Linked DNA regions of Coturnix japonica. The protein of the gene in region 1 interacts with the protein of each later gene in a pairwise test. Links are inferred from orthologs where the notes say so. Each region holds a gene or a part of one and is shown in the gene's direction. Other genes may lie near its edges.

Region 1 (4,270 bases):
TTTCTCATTGAAGTTCTTGCACTGCTCCCCTCTTTCAATCCCCTCTAGTGTTTCCAGTTTGTTGGTCCTGGTGCACCCCATTACCCCCATTACTCCCAGTGCTTCCAGTTCTCCCCCATTACAGTTCTCATTATTTTTTTCCCCTTTTCTCAGGTTTTGACGAGTAAAGGCGACGCCTGGGCCAAGTACATGGCAGAAGTGAAGAAGTACAAAGCACATCAGTGCAGCGATGACGACAAAACGCGGCCCCTGGTGAAATAACCACCCCCTCCCCCTCCACCCCGGACATAATTACTGTACATAATTAATTATTTAAGGACGCAGGCAGCTCCTTCCAAGCGTTTTTATATGTACAAATATATATATCCCCATCGCACCCCAGGACTCTGCCGCCTGCGATGCCTCGGGGGAGGTGGGGGGCACAGCCCCCTGCCCACCGCTCACCCCCCCTGCAGGGCCCCCACTGCCACGTTCTCCCCCTCCCCCTGCCCGGCTCCATTTTGGGGTTAGAAGTGGAGAATTGGGGGAGGCCGATGGGAGCAGCCGCTGCTGTTGCTTCATTAAAGATCTCGGAGGTTTTAGAGTGTGGTGGTGTTTTTGGGGTGGGGGCTGCCCAGCTCAGAACCTCGGCTGTCACCAGAAGTTCTTGTTTTTGGGGTTATGGTTGTACTTTTTGGGGTTATGGTTGTACTTTTTGGGGTTCTGATGGTACTTTTGGTCGTTCTGATGGTGATTTTGGGGTTCTGGTGGTGATTTTGGGGTTCTGATGGTACTTTTGGGGTTCTGATGGTGATTTTGGGGTTCTGATGGTGATTTTGGGGTTCTGATGGTGATTTTGGGGCTCTGATGGTGATTTTGTGGTTCTGATGGTGGGGGATGCTGCCCAAACCTCACTGTGCCCCCTGTAAGTGCTGCCCGCATCCTCTTGGAGCACTGGGGTTGGGGTGAAGGTGGGATGGGATGGTCCTGAGCTTCTCCTCCCCCATTGCCCCCCGTTTCTGAGCCCTCCTGCTCTCCCATCCCTTTCTCCCATGTCTCCAATTCCCCTGGGTTCCCACCCGTGCCCCCATTCCCTGCTCCCCCATTGCTCCCAGTTCCCTTCCTTCACCCCCCATTACTTCCAATACACCTCAGTTCCCATTGCTCCCCTATAGCTCCGGGACCGGAAGGGGCTGGGCCCGAGCGGCGCCCACGGGCCCCTGGGAGATGTAGTTCGGAAGTTGAGGGTTGGGCTACGCGCATGCGCAGCAACGCACTTTCCGGTCTAGGCCCCGCCCCCCAACGCAGCACGCACGCACGCAGCCCCTCGCGCTCTCACGCGGTCACGTGGTGCGGCATACGGTGGCCGGCGCGGGTCAGTGCCCGCGTGCCGCGCTCCGCGGGCAGCGCCCGGTGCCCCGCAGGCCGCGCTCCGCCCTCCGCCCCGGAGCCCACCCCGGGCTCGGGAGCGACCCCCGGGAGGTACGAGGAGGAGACGGGAACGTGAGGAGGGAGAATTGGGCCTGGAGCGGGGGAAGGGGCGTGAGGGGGGAGGGGGATGGGATCTGTGGGGGTGGGACGGGGCATGTTTTTTGGGGGAGTGGGGAGCCTAATGGGGGGGAGGGGGTTGGATGTAGGCGGGCTGAATTCGGAGGCCCTGGGGGGGACCTGGAGAACGATCGCGGGGGGAAAGTGAACGGGATTAACGGGGGGGGAAGCCGGGCGCATGGACCGGCGGGCGAAAAATAGGGGCTTGGATGGGGGGAAAGGAGGAGGAGGAGCGAAGGGGGGGGGGAGAACGGGGGGAGTTGGGCGCCTAAGGGGGGGCAGCCGGGGGGATTATAAGATGCGTGGCCGCGGGGCTTCGTTGGGAAGTGGGGCTTAATGGGGGGGGGATGCTTTTGGGGGTTTGTTAACGGGGAACGCGGAGTAGTAGGAAGGGGGAATGGGGGTAACGTGACAGATCTAATTGGGCGTGAGGGGGGAAGGGGGCAAACGCCTGTGGGAGAAAAGGTTCATTGGCGTTCGTAATGGAGATGTAGGGGGGCAGTGGGGCCTGGGAAAAGGGGAGAAGTGCAGGTACTGAGAGAGAGAGATTCGGGGGCAGTGGGGCTGGGAAGTGGGGAATTGGAGCGAGAATGTTGGCGGTTACTTTCTGGGACTCGGGGAGGGGCGGGTTATTGGGGGAAAGGGGATAAGAGGTTCCAGAGGGCCATTTGGTGCTGGGGGGGATTGAAAGAAACGGTGAGTGGAAGAATTGGGGTTAATCGGGGACTGGGGGGATTTTTTGAGAGTGGGGGGTGAATAAAGGGGTTGTGGGCATAGGGGAAATAAGGTGAGATTCTGCCATGGTGGTTCGGTGTCTGATATTTGGGGGGGGAGGGGGGGGAAGTTTTGCCACCCCCACACCTGAATTTCCCTCCAGGGCCATCGCCATGGACTGGCAGCCGGACGAGCAGGGGCTCCAGCAGATCCTGCAGCTGCTGAAGGACTCGCAGTCCCCCAACACAGCGACGCAGCGCATTGTGCAGGACGTATCCGTGGGGCTGCAATGGGGTCGGGGGGTGGGGAGTGAAAGAGGAGCATGGGGGGCTGATGTGGGTCATAGTCCCCATTCTGCCCCATCTTGTTCTGTCCCTGACCCCATCCTTGTCCCAACCTGCTGTGGTCTTTGCCCCTTCCTGTTCTGACCCATTCATTATCTTATTCCTATCCCTTACCTCATCCTTGTCCCATTTTCTTCCTACCTCGGTCTCTCCCTACCCTGTCCAATTTACATCCCTTCCTTACTCCAGTCATTCTACTCCTTTTCTCTCCCAATCTGTGTATCTTTCTGTCCCCATCTCTGTCTGTCCCCATCGTGTTCCAATCTTTATCCTTCTCCCCCCCGCTGCTCCATCTTACCCTGCTCCCATCCTTAACCCCACACCACAGAAACTGAAGCAGCTCAACCAATTCCCTGACTTCAACAACTACCTGATCTTCGTTCTGACCCGGCTCAAATCTGAAGGTGGGTTTGCACCCAGGGGGGAATGGGGGGGCTGACAGAGCTCACTCACAGCCCCCCCACCCCAAAACCCACTCACTGCCCCTTCCCCAGATGAGCCCACACGGTCGCTGAGCGGCCTAATCCTAAAGAACAACGTCAAGGCCCACTATCAGAGTTTCCCCCCCCCTGTGGCTGAGTTCATCAAGCAGGAATGCCTCAACAACATCGGTGATGCCTCCTCTCTCATCCGTGCCACCATCGGTGAGGAAGAGGGGAAAAACCCACCCCAAACCCCCATCCTGAGCTCCCCCTCCCCACATTGGAGCTCACTGTGATTGCCTTATAGGTATCCTCATCACCACCATCGCTTCCAAAGGGGAGTTGCAGATGTGGCCTGAGCTGCTCCCACAGCTCTGCAACCTGCTCAACTCAGAGGACTACAACACGTGTGAGGTATGGGAGGCTGCGTGGGGCTATGGAGGGGGGGGGTGTCTGTGTGGGGCTGGGGGGGTCCTGGGGCAGTGCTGACCCCCCCCCTCTTCCATGGGCACACAGGGGGCATTTGGGGCGCTGCAGAAGATCTGTGAGGATTCCTCAGAGCTCCTGGACAGCGATGCGCTCAACCGTCCGCTCAACGTCATGATCCCCAAATTCCTGCAGTTCTTCAAGCACTGCAGCCCTAAAATCAGGTCTGGGGAGAAAAACCCCCAAACTGGGTGTGGAGGGGTTGAAGGAGGAACCCTCCCAGTTCTCCTTCATTAGTTAATGAGTTCATAACAAGCTGTTCCCTCCCCCCCCCAAACAGGTCCCATGCCATCGCCTGTGTCAATCAGTTCATCATGGACCGTGCTCAGGCACTGATGGAGAACATTGACACCTTCATTGAGGTGGGGGGAAAACTGGGCTGGGTGGGGGGACAGGGGGCTGTAGGGGGGAATGCTGTGTTCATTGTGGCCTCCACCCCCCCCCCCCATAGCACCTCTTTGCTCTGGCTGTGGATGAGGACCCCGAGGTGAGGAAGAATGTCTGCCGAGCTCTGGTGATGCTCCTGGAGGTCCGCATTGACCGCCTCATCCCCCACATGCATAGCATCATCCAGGTGGGTTTTGAGGGGGGTTGGGTAGGGTTGGAGCAGCTCATGGGGCTGACGTTGCCTCTCCTCCTCCAGTATATGCTGCAGCGGACACAGGACAGTGATGAGAACGTGGCCTTGGAGGCATGTGAGTTCTGGCTGACACTGGCAGAGCAGCCCATCTGCAAGGAGGTGCTGACGTCCCATCTGGTGCAGTGAGTGTGTGTGGG
Region 2 (3,712 bases), on another chromosome or scaffold:
GCCATCCCTGGAGGCATTTGAGGCCAGGCTGGATGTGGCTCTGAGCAGCCTGGTCTGGTGGTTGGTGACCCTGCAAGCAGAAGGGGTTTAAAATTGGATGATCATTGTGGGCCTTTTCAACCCAGGCCATTCTGTGATTCTATGGTGGGGAATCAGAGACATTGTCAATAGAGAACATTCTGAGGGGAATTTTTCTTGAATTGTGTGAGTTGTCATTCGTGCTTGAAGAGCATTAATACCTGTCATGTGCATCCACGGTGAGCTGTGATAAGTGAAGTTCTGCTAGATTTGTGACAAGAATGGACTGGAAAAAGCCTGTGCTTCAGATAAATGTATTTCTTGTGTTAATTTCTTTGCAGGAGTTTTATCTCCTTAATTTCGTTCTGTATAAAAGTCACGGAGAGCCTGGTTTTAAGACTATTTTTTTTCCTCCTTCCACAGGGCTATTCCCATTGTGTTGATGTGTACATAAAACAGTGTCAAGAGGTAATGCGTTTTATGTTTTACACGCATCTCTTTGGGTGTTGATTTCCTTATTCTATAAGTAGTTGTAAATATGCTGTGAAATTGTTTCCACAACCCTAGGGTGCGTTTCTGAGGAATGATGTGTTTGAAGATGCAGCCATTCTCTGCCAGCGAGTGAATAAGCAAGTTGGAGAAGTCTTCAGCAATCCGGAGACTGTGCTAGCCAAACTCATCCAAAACATCTTTGAAGTTAAACTTCAGGTACTTCAAATATTAGTATACTATAGTGATCAAGGAAGCTTTTCATCCATATGTGCTTGAAGTAACAGTTGCTCAGAATTTACAGGATTCATAATCCTGTATAAAGAGGTAGAATTACAGTTGATTGCCGTATAGCGTTTCATACAGATAATCAGACCCACTTCAAATGAAACTACTTGTACTGTGAATACAGCAAGAATGAAAACATTCAAATTCAGTATGTAAAATTAAAAGGGAATCAGTACGTTCATTAGCTAGTTCATGAGATGTCATACGCTTTTGGTTTCTTCTTTATGCCACCTACCCAGAATATGTCAGGAAAAGGAGTTTCACATTTAATAAACATCTTTAACCTGTTCGTAGTTGGAATTGGGTTTCATGTGTGAGGTTAGTAATGAATAAAGGTGTAATAGCCGATGCTTGGAATATTTATATGAACATTTAGAAACATTAGTTGAAAACCCCATTACCCATCCTGAAAATATACTCCCTTAAGTATGTGAAGTCAGCAGTATGCCTATTCATTGCAAAGTGCAATTTCCCAGTCAGTGTTGTTTTCCTTATTATTGATAATATGGAGCAGGGAGACTGAGTTTGTATTTCATTCCCCAATTTGACCATCAGTTTTGACTTAGTATTTTATGGTAAATAATATTTTTTGGCCAAATAGTTGATTACAGGAAGACTCTAAGCTTGTATCTGCATTATGTATGTATTGTAGTTAGCAAATATATAAGTACCTCTTTCTCTTGCTGTCAACTGTAGACCTACCCTTAGGCCTCTAGTGGTTTTGATTCTTTAAGAGTGGGGATCTTGTGTTTGGACTAGCATGTTTTCAAAGCAATCCCTCTTTGCTGTTTGCTTTACCTGCTGCTACTTTGTATTAATAAATCATTTCCTTCAAAACAATGTATTTATCTGTAGAAGACAGAAATTCTGTTGTATCAGAGACTTAAGCAATCCATACAGCCTTTGGGTTAAGGTGTGTGCTTTGAAGTAAATTATATGTATAATCTAACAAGTGAGGATGACCTGAGGTTTGATATCTATTCTTCTAACAGATATACCTAAATTTTACAGAGTTATGTGAAGGACCAACTGGAAGAACACAGGAAATCGGATGCAGAACAGTATCTTAAGAATCTTTACGATCTGTATACAAGGTATATGCATGTAGATGATAAAATTATTGTTGTAGTTATCCTCTTGGAATGAATTGATTAATCATCATCAAGATGTCGGAATATCAGACAAAAAAGTAAACTCCTCGTAAAAATGGGAAAAATTTAATGTCTGTCAAACTTTCCAATGATTAAATTTCTTTAGAAACTTTAAATAGCTGTTATCGTTTTGAATGGGAGGTATTTAACATTGTGATCTTTGAGTGTGATTTTTAAACTGGGTGAAAGCCAGTCCTTCCCTTGATGGCAATTGTGCCATATGTAATCAAACATGAATTATGCAAAGTTCTTTACTTAAGTATAAAGCTGCTAGAAGTTCTAATCATGATCTGGATTCTGTTGTACCATGTACTTTTACAAGCATATAATGCTGTAATTCATACAAATACAACCTTTTCCTCCTCTCCCCTTCTTTGTTTTGCATAAAGAACTACTAATCTTTCAAGCAAATTGATGGAATTTAACTTGGGTACCGATAAGCAGACTTTCTTGTCTAAGCTTATCAAATCCATTTTCATTTCCTACTTGGAGAATTACATTGAGGTGGAAATTGGCTATTTGAAAAGTAGGAGCGCGATGATTCTGCAACGTTATTATGATTCCAAAAACCACCAGAAGAGGTCTATTGGCACTGGAGGGTAAGTTTCTCCTATGAAGTTTCCTACTTCTGAAGTGGAAGGGAGGTGGTAAAGGGAGAAATGTTGTGTTTTTCGTGCCAAATGTACAGTGATGGACTGCAAAAGAGCAGACTTCTAAAGTGACCTACAGCTTTTTATAATTTGCTATCATTTCCTGTTAACTTTCTCTGAAATCTTACATGTGAAGGGTGATGCATGGTGCTTATATACTCATGGAAAATGAAAAATACCAGTTAAACTTATGTTTCAACTTAGGATCCAGACCCACAAAAGGACTGAAGCAAAATTAAGGTACCGAACGCATGTATATGTGTGTATCTAAAAGCATACATTTTTTTTCACCTGCCCAGGTCTTGTGGTCCCCTCCCAAGACCTAGGAAGGGGAAAAGACCATAGCAATGTCAGTGAAAAAGCTCTTAGTGAGCCCAGAAGATGCAATGGACTTAGAGAAAGGTAAAACAAGACTTCATTATCCTCAGGGTAGAGACACTATAAAGGAGTAGGGAGACGTGGGAAAGGAAGAAAGAAAACTTGTGTGAGGAAAAGGTGATGAGACTGTTACACCTCTCAGAGTTACTGGGTTCGGTGTGTCAGGCATGAAGAGTGATTTGGAGAAAACAACAACAACTATAGCAAAGTCATGAGATGAATAAAAGCAAAGATAAAAATTTAATTTTCTTGGGGAAAATTAAATTGATTGCAATGACTGTCCCTATGGGTTGCTTTATGCATGGAAATGTGTCGGAGCATGCTTGAATAAGTCATGACTGCACAGATAGGGATGAGGATGAAAGGATTTGTGGCTGTGGATGAGAGAGGAAGACCTCAGTGTTTTGAAAGTAAAATGTGACAACGTATGGAGGCTGAACTTTGTCCACAGAGCACACGCCCCAGAGGGGGAACAGGTGTTCCCATGGTATGAATGTGCCATGGTAGGACACAGCTGAATGTGGGATCAGAGGTGGTTGTTTTGCATTTACTAGCAATTTTTTTTTAAGCTGTCTTAACTGTCTTAACGCTTGCATATCCTAAACTGTGTCTTGGGTTCTGTTTTTGTAAGTTAACAACCGAAATATTGTAAGATATTGTTGAATGTGATCTTCAGAATTTCCACCCAGCAAAACCTTTTGGTGTCTCTGTTTTAGTATTCAAGACCTCAAGGAAAGA
Region 3 (4,383 bases), on another chromosome or scaffold:
AAAAGCATTGAGAAAAACAAAACCCACCAACATACGATACCACACCAAAAGCCTCACAAAGTCAACCTACAGCACAGATAGCACTGTTACACCTTACAAAAGGAAATATGAGTGGCCTGATGAAACAAAGTTTTCCTAAGCCTTGTCAGTATTTCATAATTTGTTTGGCTGGTTGCTTAACTGCAGGCTCTGAAAACAAACAAAAAGTTCAGGAAAGTTATTTTCACAGAGTTTTTTTGAATATACAGATGAGAAAGATAACCAAGACATCTTCCTGCTTTCCCCCCATCTCACCTGTTCTCTGCAGCTGCAGAGCTGCAACACTAATTTGTGTGAATGACACCTAACTTGTCTGAAGTTATTCTCTGAATAACTTGCGCCCTTCACCTGGCTTAGCTTTTGTCAACATGTCTGTGCATTGATTTAGCTCTCAGTGAAAGCTCAACCAAAAAACAGCAGCAATACATACTTGGGTTTTGGTGTACTCTGTTGCGTAACAGACTGGGCTTTATTTCTCATACTAACTTACAGACTGTTTCTTCAATGCTTCTGCAAGATTACAGCTACATCATTTCACACCTTGATTTTTTCATTTTTGTTCCTACATGCTCACTCCTGGTCATTTCACTTGAATTGTGCTCTATGCTTTTTTGCTTCTTCTTTCAAACGCACTGATGAGTTTTCTTGGAAGCTGACCTTTGCTTTCCCTCCTTCCTACGTTACATGCTGCCCTCCTTTTTTCAAATGCTCAGACATTTTCATGCTATTTACTCACTGACAGCTTAACATCTGGATGCTACGGATGTTAACCTTATCATATACGCATAGAAAAACATATTTGGGCCCCTAAAGGAGTAAGAAAACATCATCTAAAATAACACATGCACATGCAGTACTCATTGACAGCTTAACATCTGGATGCTACGGATGTTAACCTTACCATCCCTGATATTATATACACATAGAAAAACATATTTGGGCTCCTAAAGGTGTAAGAAAACATCATCTAAAATAATACATGCACATGCAGTAAGCATAACTTTTTCAAGGTAAAGAACTGAAGATGTGTTCTTTAGAATGTGACACCAAACTAACAGAGGAGCTCAGCATAGCAGCCCTCACTTGGATGAGAAGCCAAGAAGCTGCCTTTGAAATTAAGCACAGCATTTCAGTGCTAAACCCTAAGTTTCAACTTATAGACTCGACCTCAGAGAGCTGTGCATACAGCTCCGGCCCAACAAGGCTCCTTGCCACCTCTCTCCCCACACAGCAGCAGGCCGGCTGCAGCCCAGCACTCACCCAGCAGCTCCTGGGTGCCATGCAGGAGCCTCCATCCTCCCCGTGCGGGCAGGGCCAGCCCAGCACCCAACACCGGCCGCCCGCCTCGCAACAACCTCATCACCCCGGCTCCTCCGCTCCGCCACCAGGAGGCCGCCATCTTGCCTGGCCCTCACTGCAGGGAAGGGGCTGCCCTTAGCGCTGCCTGAACGGAAAAGCCGGCTGCGGGTCGGGGTTACGGTGTCATGGCTGCCGCCGGCGGTGATGGCGTCCAGCTCAACAACGCGGTGCAGGTAACGAGAGGTAGCAGCGCTTAGAACGAGGCAGGATTTAAACCAGGCCTTAGAAAGACGTGTCCTAAAAGAGAAGACATGTCCCCTTGCAATTGAAGTCGTAAATAATAGCGTCATTGCTGAAATATGGCTGTCACCCGTTTAAACTGAGTCTCAGGATTGAAATTCTTAACGTTTTCTGATCGCTTTTCGTTGATCCTTTTTCTGATTTATTTTTAGGATAAGTTACATCCGAGAAATCTTATCCCAGAACTTTGTAGGCTGTTTTATGGTTTAGGCTGGGTAACGGGAACTGGTGGAGGAATCAGCCTGAAATATGGGTAAGTAAAGGTGGAAGAGCAAGAAGCTGTATGATCTTTAAAGGTCCAAAAAATAGTTTTTTTGAAGCACAGCTTTGCTTTTTAACTGTTCATTACCCCCTACTTATACTTTCAAAGCTTCTAATGGAAACAGAACCCCTGCTAGGGACTGCTGAACTAAAAAGAGAAACTTTCACTCCACAAAATACCTTTCAGGGTCTGTCGCTGCCCCATCATGGACACTGTAACTTAAAAGTTACTAATCTCTGATTTTTCTGACGTACATGCAGTGTGTATCAGAAAAAGAAACAACACAGCTGTTAGTAGAGTAGCTTCCAATGTATCTTACATGGTAGGAGTAGTAACCTGAATGATTGTACTCATTTTTATACCTTCATTAGCATAAGGTATGTTTCAGAATGAACAGCTGTGAGGCAGAGCAAGTAGACTAACCTAGACTAACCTGGTTCCATAGGAACAACCGAAGTTCTAGCAGCTCATTCTACCTCACATCCTGATCAACATTACTGACTGCACTGTTCATAGCAACAACTCAAAGTGAAGATGCCAAGATATGGCATAGCATTATTAAAATCAGATCTAGAATTTTTTATCAGCTGTCCTATATTTCACTTCTTCTGAGCCATGAATTTCTTGACAAGAGAGAAAAATATTCAAACATCTCACACTCCTTAAGAGATACACCTGTAACTTGACTAATTATTCACTAGATGTCTCTGTGCTCCCGAATTTAAAGCATTGCTGCTGAAACTAAAGAGTGTTTAAGTACGAGATAGCAGTCTGATTTTCTTTGTTGTTATTGAAAATATTTCAGTTGCCTCCTTAAAATTATTTACATTTAAATCAGTATTTTGATGGATTTTGTTCATGTAAACTATGGAAGAACAAAACAAAACTAAACCAAAAGACAACCCCATCTACCCATGACCACATATGTGGAAGAGCGATAAATTTACTGTCACAGTTTAGTTTTGCTTTTTCTTTTCAAGTGAATGTAGAGCTCTAATGCTCATGCTGTTACAAAGACGTTTGTTTTTTAATAGTTTTACCTATCTTAAATTTTTTTTTAGGAATGAAATCTATATTGCTCCTTCAGGAGTCCAGAAGGAAAGAATACAGGTATGTTTAACTGCATTTCTACCTTAGAGCTCATATTCAGATGGGTAAAATTACCTATGTTTAATGTTTTATTTTTCCTTAGATAAAGTTGGGCTTACAATATGGTCTGCATTCCTGAAATAACTGGATTTCTCCTCTTATTTAAGTACTCAGCTGCCAAGGCAAGCCTATGGCCAGCATAGAATCAAAGAAGACTGAAAGTTACTCTAGATCAGCTTTTCTCTTTTTCTAGATTAAATGGCTTTATAGCTATCTGAGTAGTTTCAGGTTACTGTAGTACACACGTTTTACACTTTAACACCTCTTTTCTGTTTCATAGTTTCATTTTCCTTCTACAGAGGAATATATATGAAACTGTTCAGGCAATCACAGGTCAAAATAATTTCTCTGATACAGCCAGAAGATATGTTTGTTTGTGACATGAACGAGCGGGACATCAGTGGTCCCCCAGCTCACAAGAAACTAAAGAAAAGCCAGTGCACGCCTCTTTTTATGAATGCCTACACTATGAGAGGTATGTAGCAAGTCTTTTTGCTTTACTGTTGACTGAAATGCCGTATATACATTGTCAACAACATTCAAATTCAATACCAGATTCTTTAAATGTAGAAGTCACAGTGAAAAAGACATGAGCCTGTAAAATATAAATAAATTTCTCCAAGCACACATACAATGGAATGTAATCCACAGTAACATCTGTAAGCCTTTTCTACGGCTTCCTACATAACTACACCTGAGATCATTTTCAGCACTGATTTTTACCCCAGTCTATTAATAGGTTGTTGGAGGGAATGGGAAGTCCTTGACACGCCTTGGCTATCATCAAAGGTTCTAAATTTTTACGTGAAAGAAATATGAAGCTTTTCCTTACCTTATAATCACAGTGCCAGTTTGCAGTGGAGCATCCATTTCCTTTTCTTGTGTCAGGGATGCTAAAGAAGGCTCTTCTTTATAAGTTTAGAAATTCTTTAGAATCATGGATACCTGATAAAATTATTACAGTGTTTTAGTTTTTATAGCACATAAGAAAACTATAGAAGGAGTGCTTCTCTTTGCTTTTGTGCAAGTAGTTTTTCTCTTGCAATTTGTCACTAAGTAAAAGTTGACATTGCTGTCCTAAAATACTCTAGAATTATCCTTTATAGGTGTGCAATTATTTCCTACCTTTATTTAGGCTGCTGTGCAATTTTTCTTCTGATACAGTAAATTACTGTTTGCTAAGATGCATAGCCAAAGAAAATCAAATACAGTAACATTTTTTTCTTAATAAATGCCTTTCAAATATTATTTTTTAAAATTGTATATATATGTATATAAAATTAAAATATTAATTTTTTACTATTTTTTTTTTCCTCTTCTTAGGAGCGGGTGCA
Region 4 (4,186 bases), on another chromosome or scaffold:
ACATCTCTGCTGTGCTATATGTTTAGAGCACTGCACAGATGTTAGCGTAACTCATCCCTTAACGCACCACCATTGTGTGTAGCATAGAGGAACACACAGCAAGGCACATGGTGTGCCCAGCACAGAGCAAGCAGCCATGCCAGGGCCTGGGCTGGGAGTATGGCTGCATGTAACAGCGTGCGCCTTGGCGGCGGGTGTGGAAGCAGCCACATTTGGGAAGGGTTTTAGGCACGTTGTAATGATTTCCAACTTCGGACTGTGAAGAATGCTGCCGTTACCACCATCAGCAGCTCTTCACCTGCTGCTGCTGCTTTGGCTTTAAATATTTTGGACAGAAATCTTATGGATGAAATGTCTATAAAACCAGATGCGTTGATACTTCAGCCGCACCATTTCCCACACACAGCCGCTTTACCCCACTCTCAGCACGGCTCTCAGTGACACGACAGCGGCATTCCCAGCCCTTCTAACCGAGCACGGTGCACGCTCCGTGTTGGGACCCCCGCTGTCGTCCAACCCTCCTCCGGTGCTGCGGAGCCGCCCTTCCCCGCTGCAGGACCGAGCCCAAGGTCACAGCCCCCGAGCCCACCCCGCGCTGCGGAGCCCCGGGAGGAGAAGAAGGAGGAGAAGGAGGAGGAGGAGGAGGTGGGGGGGGTGTCGCGCGGTCCCGCTTCCCTCCGGCTGCCGCCGCGCGCGCCCCCGAGCACGGCCGCCCCCCCGCCCCCGCGGGGCGGTTGTTGACGTCAGCGGTCGCCGAGGAACGGGCCGCAGGTGCATCCGTTTCCTCGGGGCCGGCGGCGCCTCCCGCCTCCGTGCCGGGTGCGGATCGAATCGGATCGGCCCTTCGCGCGGCCGTTCCCCGAGCGCGGAGCCCCCCTTGCCAGAGCGGCCCCGACGGGCGGCGGCAGAGAGCCGCGACGGGGCGGCCGCGAGCGCTGGGCTCGTATCGCTAGGGGGAGGCACGGCACCGGGAATCGGCGCGGAGCGAGGCAAGGCGGCCCCGCTGCCCGCGGGCTCGGGAGAACGTAGGGCCGGGGCGCCCCGTCGCCGGCTGCCGCGCCGCGCCCCCCGGCCCGGTTTTGCTTTCCCTTTCGGTGCCGCCTCTCCGCCGCGACGTTTTATTTATTTATTTTCCCAGAGGGTGGGGACGAGGGGAGGGGAGAGACTCGCCGCGGGGACGAGCCGCCTGGCGGGGAGGAGGCGGCCCCGACACGAGAGGCGGCGGCGGCGGCGGCGGGGAGGGGAGAGACTCGCCGCGGGGACGAGCCGCCTGGCGGGGAGGAGGCGGCCCCGACACGAGAGGCGGCGGCGGCGGCGGCGGCGGGGAGGAGAAGCCGGCGCGGAGCCGCTCCTCGCATCGCCTCGCCCACCCCGCAGCCCCTCCGCCGCCTCGCCTCCCCTGGCCGCCGGAGGCACCGGCGGCCGCCCGTCCCCATGATGGCCTCAACCGCCACCTGCACCCGCTTCACCGACGAGTACCAGCTCTACGAGGAGCTCGGCAAGTAAGTACGGGGCCGCTCCGGGGACGAGGGGGGAGAGGAGGGAAACACTGAGAGTCGGGGGGGCTCCGTCCCCGCGGGTTGGGGTGTGCGGGGCGATGCCTGCAGCCCTGCCTCGTCCCCGGGCGTCGCTTCAAGGCTGAGACTCGGTCCGTGAGCACAGCTCCGGGTGGGCGGCAATCCCTGCGGGTGCTGCGGGCGGTGACGGGCTGCCCTGCTGCCGGGCTGCCCTGCCGGCGGCAGCCGGAGCTCGCTACCCCCGACACGACCGCGGCCGGTTCGTCGGGCGCCCCCCTGCGTTGGGGCGCGTATCCCCGATCGCCATGTTGGCACGGACACGGGGACCCGGGGCCGCAACGTGCCGCCGCCGGGAGAGCGCTTCGGTCGCACCGCTCGAAACAGCGGCTCTGAGCAGCGTTTTGCTGTTGCGTTGATTAAAATGAGCGCTGACCGTCTCTGACAAGCCTCCCTTCTTCTTACAATTTATTTTTCTTATTATCCCGTTCCCTCCCCCCCTTAATTCTTTGGGCATCGTTCCGCTCCTTTAGATGTGTGGCAGCGCGGTGGTAATGGCAGGGCGCTGTTCGGGTGGCACTGACGCTCTGTCCCCTCTTGGCTTGCAGAGGAGCGTTCTCGGTCGTGAGGCGATGTATGAAAATCACCACAGGACAGGAGTATGCTGCCAAAATCATCAACACCAAAAAGCTCTCGGCCAGGGGTGGGTATATTCCATATATTCCAACCGAGCGTTTACGATATCTTCTCCTCATTTCTTGCATTCTTGTGGCGAGCGTTAAAACGGAGCACAGAATAATAAGAATTAAGGTTATTAATTTTCTCAGTAATTTTCTTCATTTCCTTTCAGGCAGTGGTTCTTTTTTATGCTAAACGTTTCAGAGGTTAACCGTATGGAGGGCTGTGTTGCTGTACCTTAAAGGGAAGCTTTATGAAGTGATTTAAATGAGTGCATCCTCTTCCCGTTTTTACATTGGAAAAACTGGAAAGGATTGTACACTCTGATTTTTTTAGGGGAAGGCTGGGAAACAAGTTGACATTGCGGCTTTTATCATAAATATGTGTTTTCTTTTCTGAATTCAAAGTTTCCATTGCATTTAAACTGAAACGTGAAAAAGGCCTATTTGAATCCGTGGAGAAGAGTGTGATGCCCCCTCCTGTACTGAACTTTGTGATGAGATCCCGGGGAAAGGGAAAATTCCTTTTTTGAAGCGTCCATTTGTGAACACAAGTCATTCTGAATGACACATTGTGTCACAGCTCCAGCCCAGCATTAATGCCTGCTGCACCGCATGCTTAGGTTTTACTGTAACATGTTTGTTTCCCTTATGTTCTGCCTGTCAGTGGGAAGTCGTGGTGATACATTTGGGTGGTCACGTGTGTGCTGTAGGTTACTGCTGTCGGCAGCAAGCCTCAATGGAGATATGTCAATTCCTTGTTAAACCCACGTCAAAGTGATTGTAGGAGGATGTCGAGGATTAGGGATTATTCTCTGTTAACACTACCTGTGTTTTGATGTGAGTTTGTGATATGGTAAAGAATGTGAAAGTGAATAAGCAAGTGGTGTCAGCTCTGTAGTCTTCCTTAGAAGTCATCATTTGAGACATGCTGTTTTTCAGGCTTTCATTTTGTGCTTCCTTGGCTGTTCAGGCAGGACCGAGTTGGTCCTCACTGCAGCCCATTGATGCACCCAGACCTGCTGGGGAGAATTTGGCTGGCAAGGTGGAATGTAGCAAAACTCATGCAAAGAAAAATTTCTGTTGGTTTGAAGTGTAGGCCCATAAAGCAAGGAGTTGGGTTTTCGAGGTTGGTAACTGGGCTGTGAAATATTCTTCCATATGTGAATGAATGTGATGCTGTGTCCACGAATGCAGTGGATCCATTTCCATCTTGGCTTTCAAAGATTCCAGATTTTATTTTATTATTTTAGTTTACATGCACTGCTGTTCTTTAGCTTTTATCTTTTGGAAGACAAATAACAACATCTCAGCAGCTTTTGAAGAGCAAGCTCCTTACAGAGATCCTGGGATTCCTCTTAAGCAATTCTGCAGTTACAAAAGGGTGTTACTTGCAGTGCCTCTGTCTGTGATACTTTAACGTGACTGATACTAAGTATGCAGCTTACAACTCGGACTACATTTCAAGTAGTATCTAAATTATAAGTTTCATTCTCCTCCTGTCTGATCTGCTTTATGATGAGGTAGCAGTTCACTTTGATGTTTCCAGCTTCTCACCTGAAATACAGATCATAATGTAAATCTGAAGGTTATTGGGTGAGCTTCATCTGTGAGCGGTTAGAGGTTCTCAGCTTGCCATGTATCCCATGTACAACCCTGCTTGTCTGTAACTCTGAAGCACTACATCAAATTTGAGCCTTCTTGCTTGCAAGACAGAGTTGCCATTACAGTGTTTTGATGGGGAGGAGTCACGGCTGTTAATCTAAAGGAGAACTCAACATGATTTGAGTTGAAAAATTATTTGACTGTGTCAGCCTTGATACAACAATAATTGTCACTCCAGCCACAAATGATGTTGGAGATTGTTTGGATCCTTCCCTTAGCAGCCCTTCTAAACACAGGGTGATGTCGTCACACGCTTACGCCAGTGAAGGTGTGTTCTCTTCTGATTCCTTGTTCAGTTGTGAAGAAATTCTGGAGTAACCATGTCCAGAG

Evidence for each region.
Region 2: the proteins of TNPO2 (region 1) and EXOC5 interact in binary tests that used the Homo sapiens proteins (3 or more experiments, as listed by UniProt). The two-hybrid records come from large-scale screens. The link is inferred for Coturnix japonica from reciprocal best matches to the Homo sapiens genes TNPO2 and EXOC5.
Region 3: the proteins of TNPO2 (region 1) and APIP interact in binary tests that used the Homo sapiens proteins (3 or more experiments, as listed by UniProt). The two-hybrid records come from large-scale screens. The link is inferred for Coturnix japonica from reciprocal best matches to the Homo sapiens genes TNPO2 and APIP.
Region 4: the proteins of TNPO2 (region 1) and CAMK2D interact in binary tests that used the Homo sapiens proteins (3 or more experiments, as listed by UniProt). The two-hybrid records come from large-scale screens. The link is inferred for Coturnix japonica from reciprocal best matches to the Homo sapiens genes TNPO2 and CAMK2D.

What each region holds. Positions count from the first base shown.
Region 1 is NW_015439889.1:80,225-84,494, forward strand, and holds the start of TNPO2 (transportin-2), read left to right. Parts: upstream 1-1,318; 5' UTR 1,319-1,461; intron 1,462-2,404; 5' UTR 2,405-2,414; coding exon 2,415-2,513; intron 2,514-2,913; coding exon 2,914-2,989; intron 2,990-3,079; coding exon 3,080-3,229; intron 3,230-3,314; coding exon 3,315-3,421; intron 3,422-3,523; coding exon 3,524-3,657; intron 3,658-3,773; coding exon 3,774-3,855; intron 3,856-3,944; coding exon 3,945-4,067; intron 4,068-4,136; coding exon 4,137-4,255; intron 4,256-4,270. Other genes in the region: TRIR (telomerase RNA component interacting RNase), read left to right, coding at 154-261. UniProt on the Homo sapiens protein: Probably functions in nuclear protein import as nuclear transport receptor. Serves as receptor for nuclear localization signals (NLS) in cargo substrates.
Region 2 is NC_029520.1:50,519,596-50,523,307, forward strand, and holds part of EXOC5 (exocyst complex component 5), read left to right. Parts: intron 1-441; coding exon 442-486; intron 487-585; coding exon 586-726; intron 727-1,806; coding exon 1,807-1,889; intron 1,890-2,335; coding exon 2,336-2,545; intron 2,546-2,800; coding exon 2,801-2,836; intron 2,837-3,690; coding exon 3,691-3,712. UniProt on the Homo sapiens protein: Component of the exocyst complex involved in the docking of exocytic vesicles with fusion sites on the plasma membrane.
Region 3 is NC_029520.1:5,994,907-5,999,289, forward strand, and holds the start of APIP (methylthioribulose-1-phosphate dehydratase), read left to right. Parts: upstream 1-1,459; 5' UTR 1,460-1,523; coding exon 1,524-1,571; intron 1,572-1,790; coding exon 1,791-1,891; intron 1,892-2,961; coding exon 2,962-3,010; intron 3,011-3,348; coding exon of another isoform or gene 3,349-3,406; coding exon 3,407-3,524; intron 3,525-3,881; exon of another isoform or gene 3,882-3,963; intron 3,964-4,372; coding exon 4,373-4,383. Other genes in the region: PDHX (pyruvate dehydrogenase protein X component, mitochondrial), read right to left, coding at 1,300-1,438. UniProt on the Homo sapiens protein: Catalyzes the dehydration of methylthioribulose-1-phosphate (MTRu-1-P) into 2,3-diketo-5-methylthiopentyl-1-phosphate (DK-MTP-1-P).
Region 4 is NC_029519.1:50,655,208-50,659,393, forward strand, and holds the start of CAMK2D (calcium/calmodulin-dependent protein kinase type II subunit delta), read left to right. Parts: upstream 1-1,301; 5' UTR 1,302-1,434; coding exon 1,435-1,502; intron 1,503-2,092; exon of another isoform or gene 2,093-2,122; coding exon 2,123-2,217; intron 2,218-4,186. UniProt on the Homo sapiens protein: Calcium/calmodulin-dependent protein kinase involved in the regulation of Ca(2+) homeostatis and excitation-contraction coupling (ECC) in heart by targeting ion channels, transporters and accessory proteins involved in Ca(2+) influx into the myocyte, Ca(2+) release from the sarcoplasmic reticulum (SR), SR Ca(2+) uptake and Na(+) and K(+) channel transport.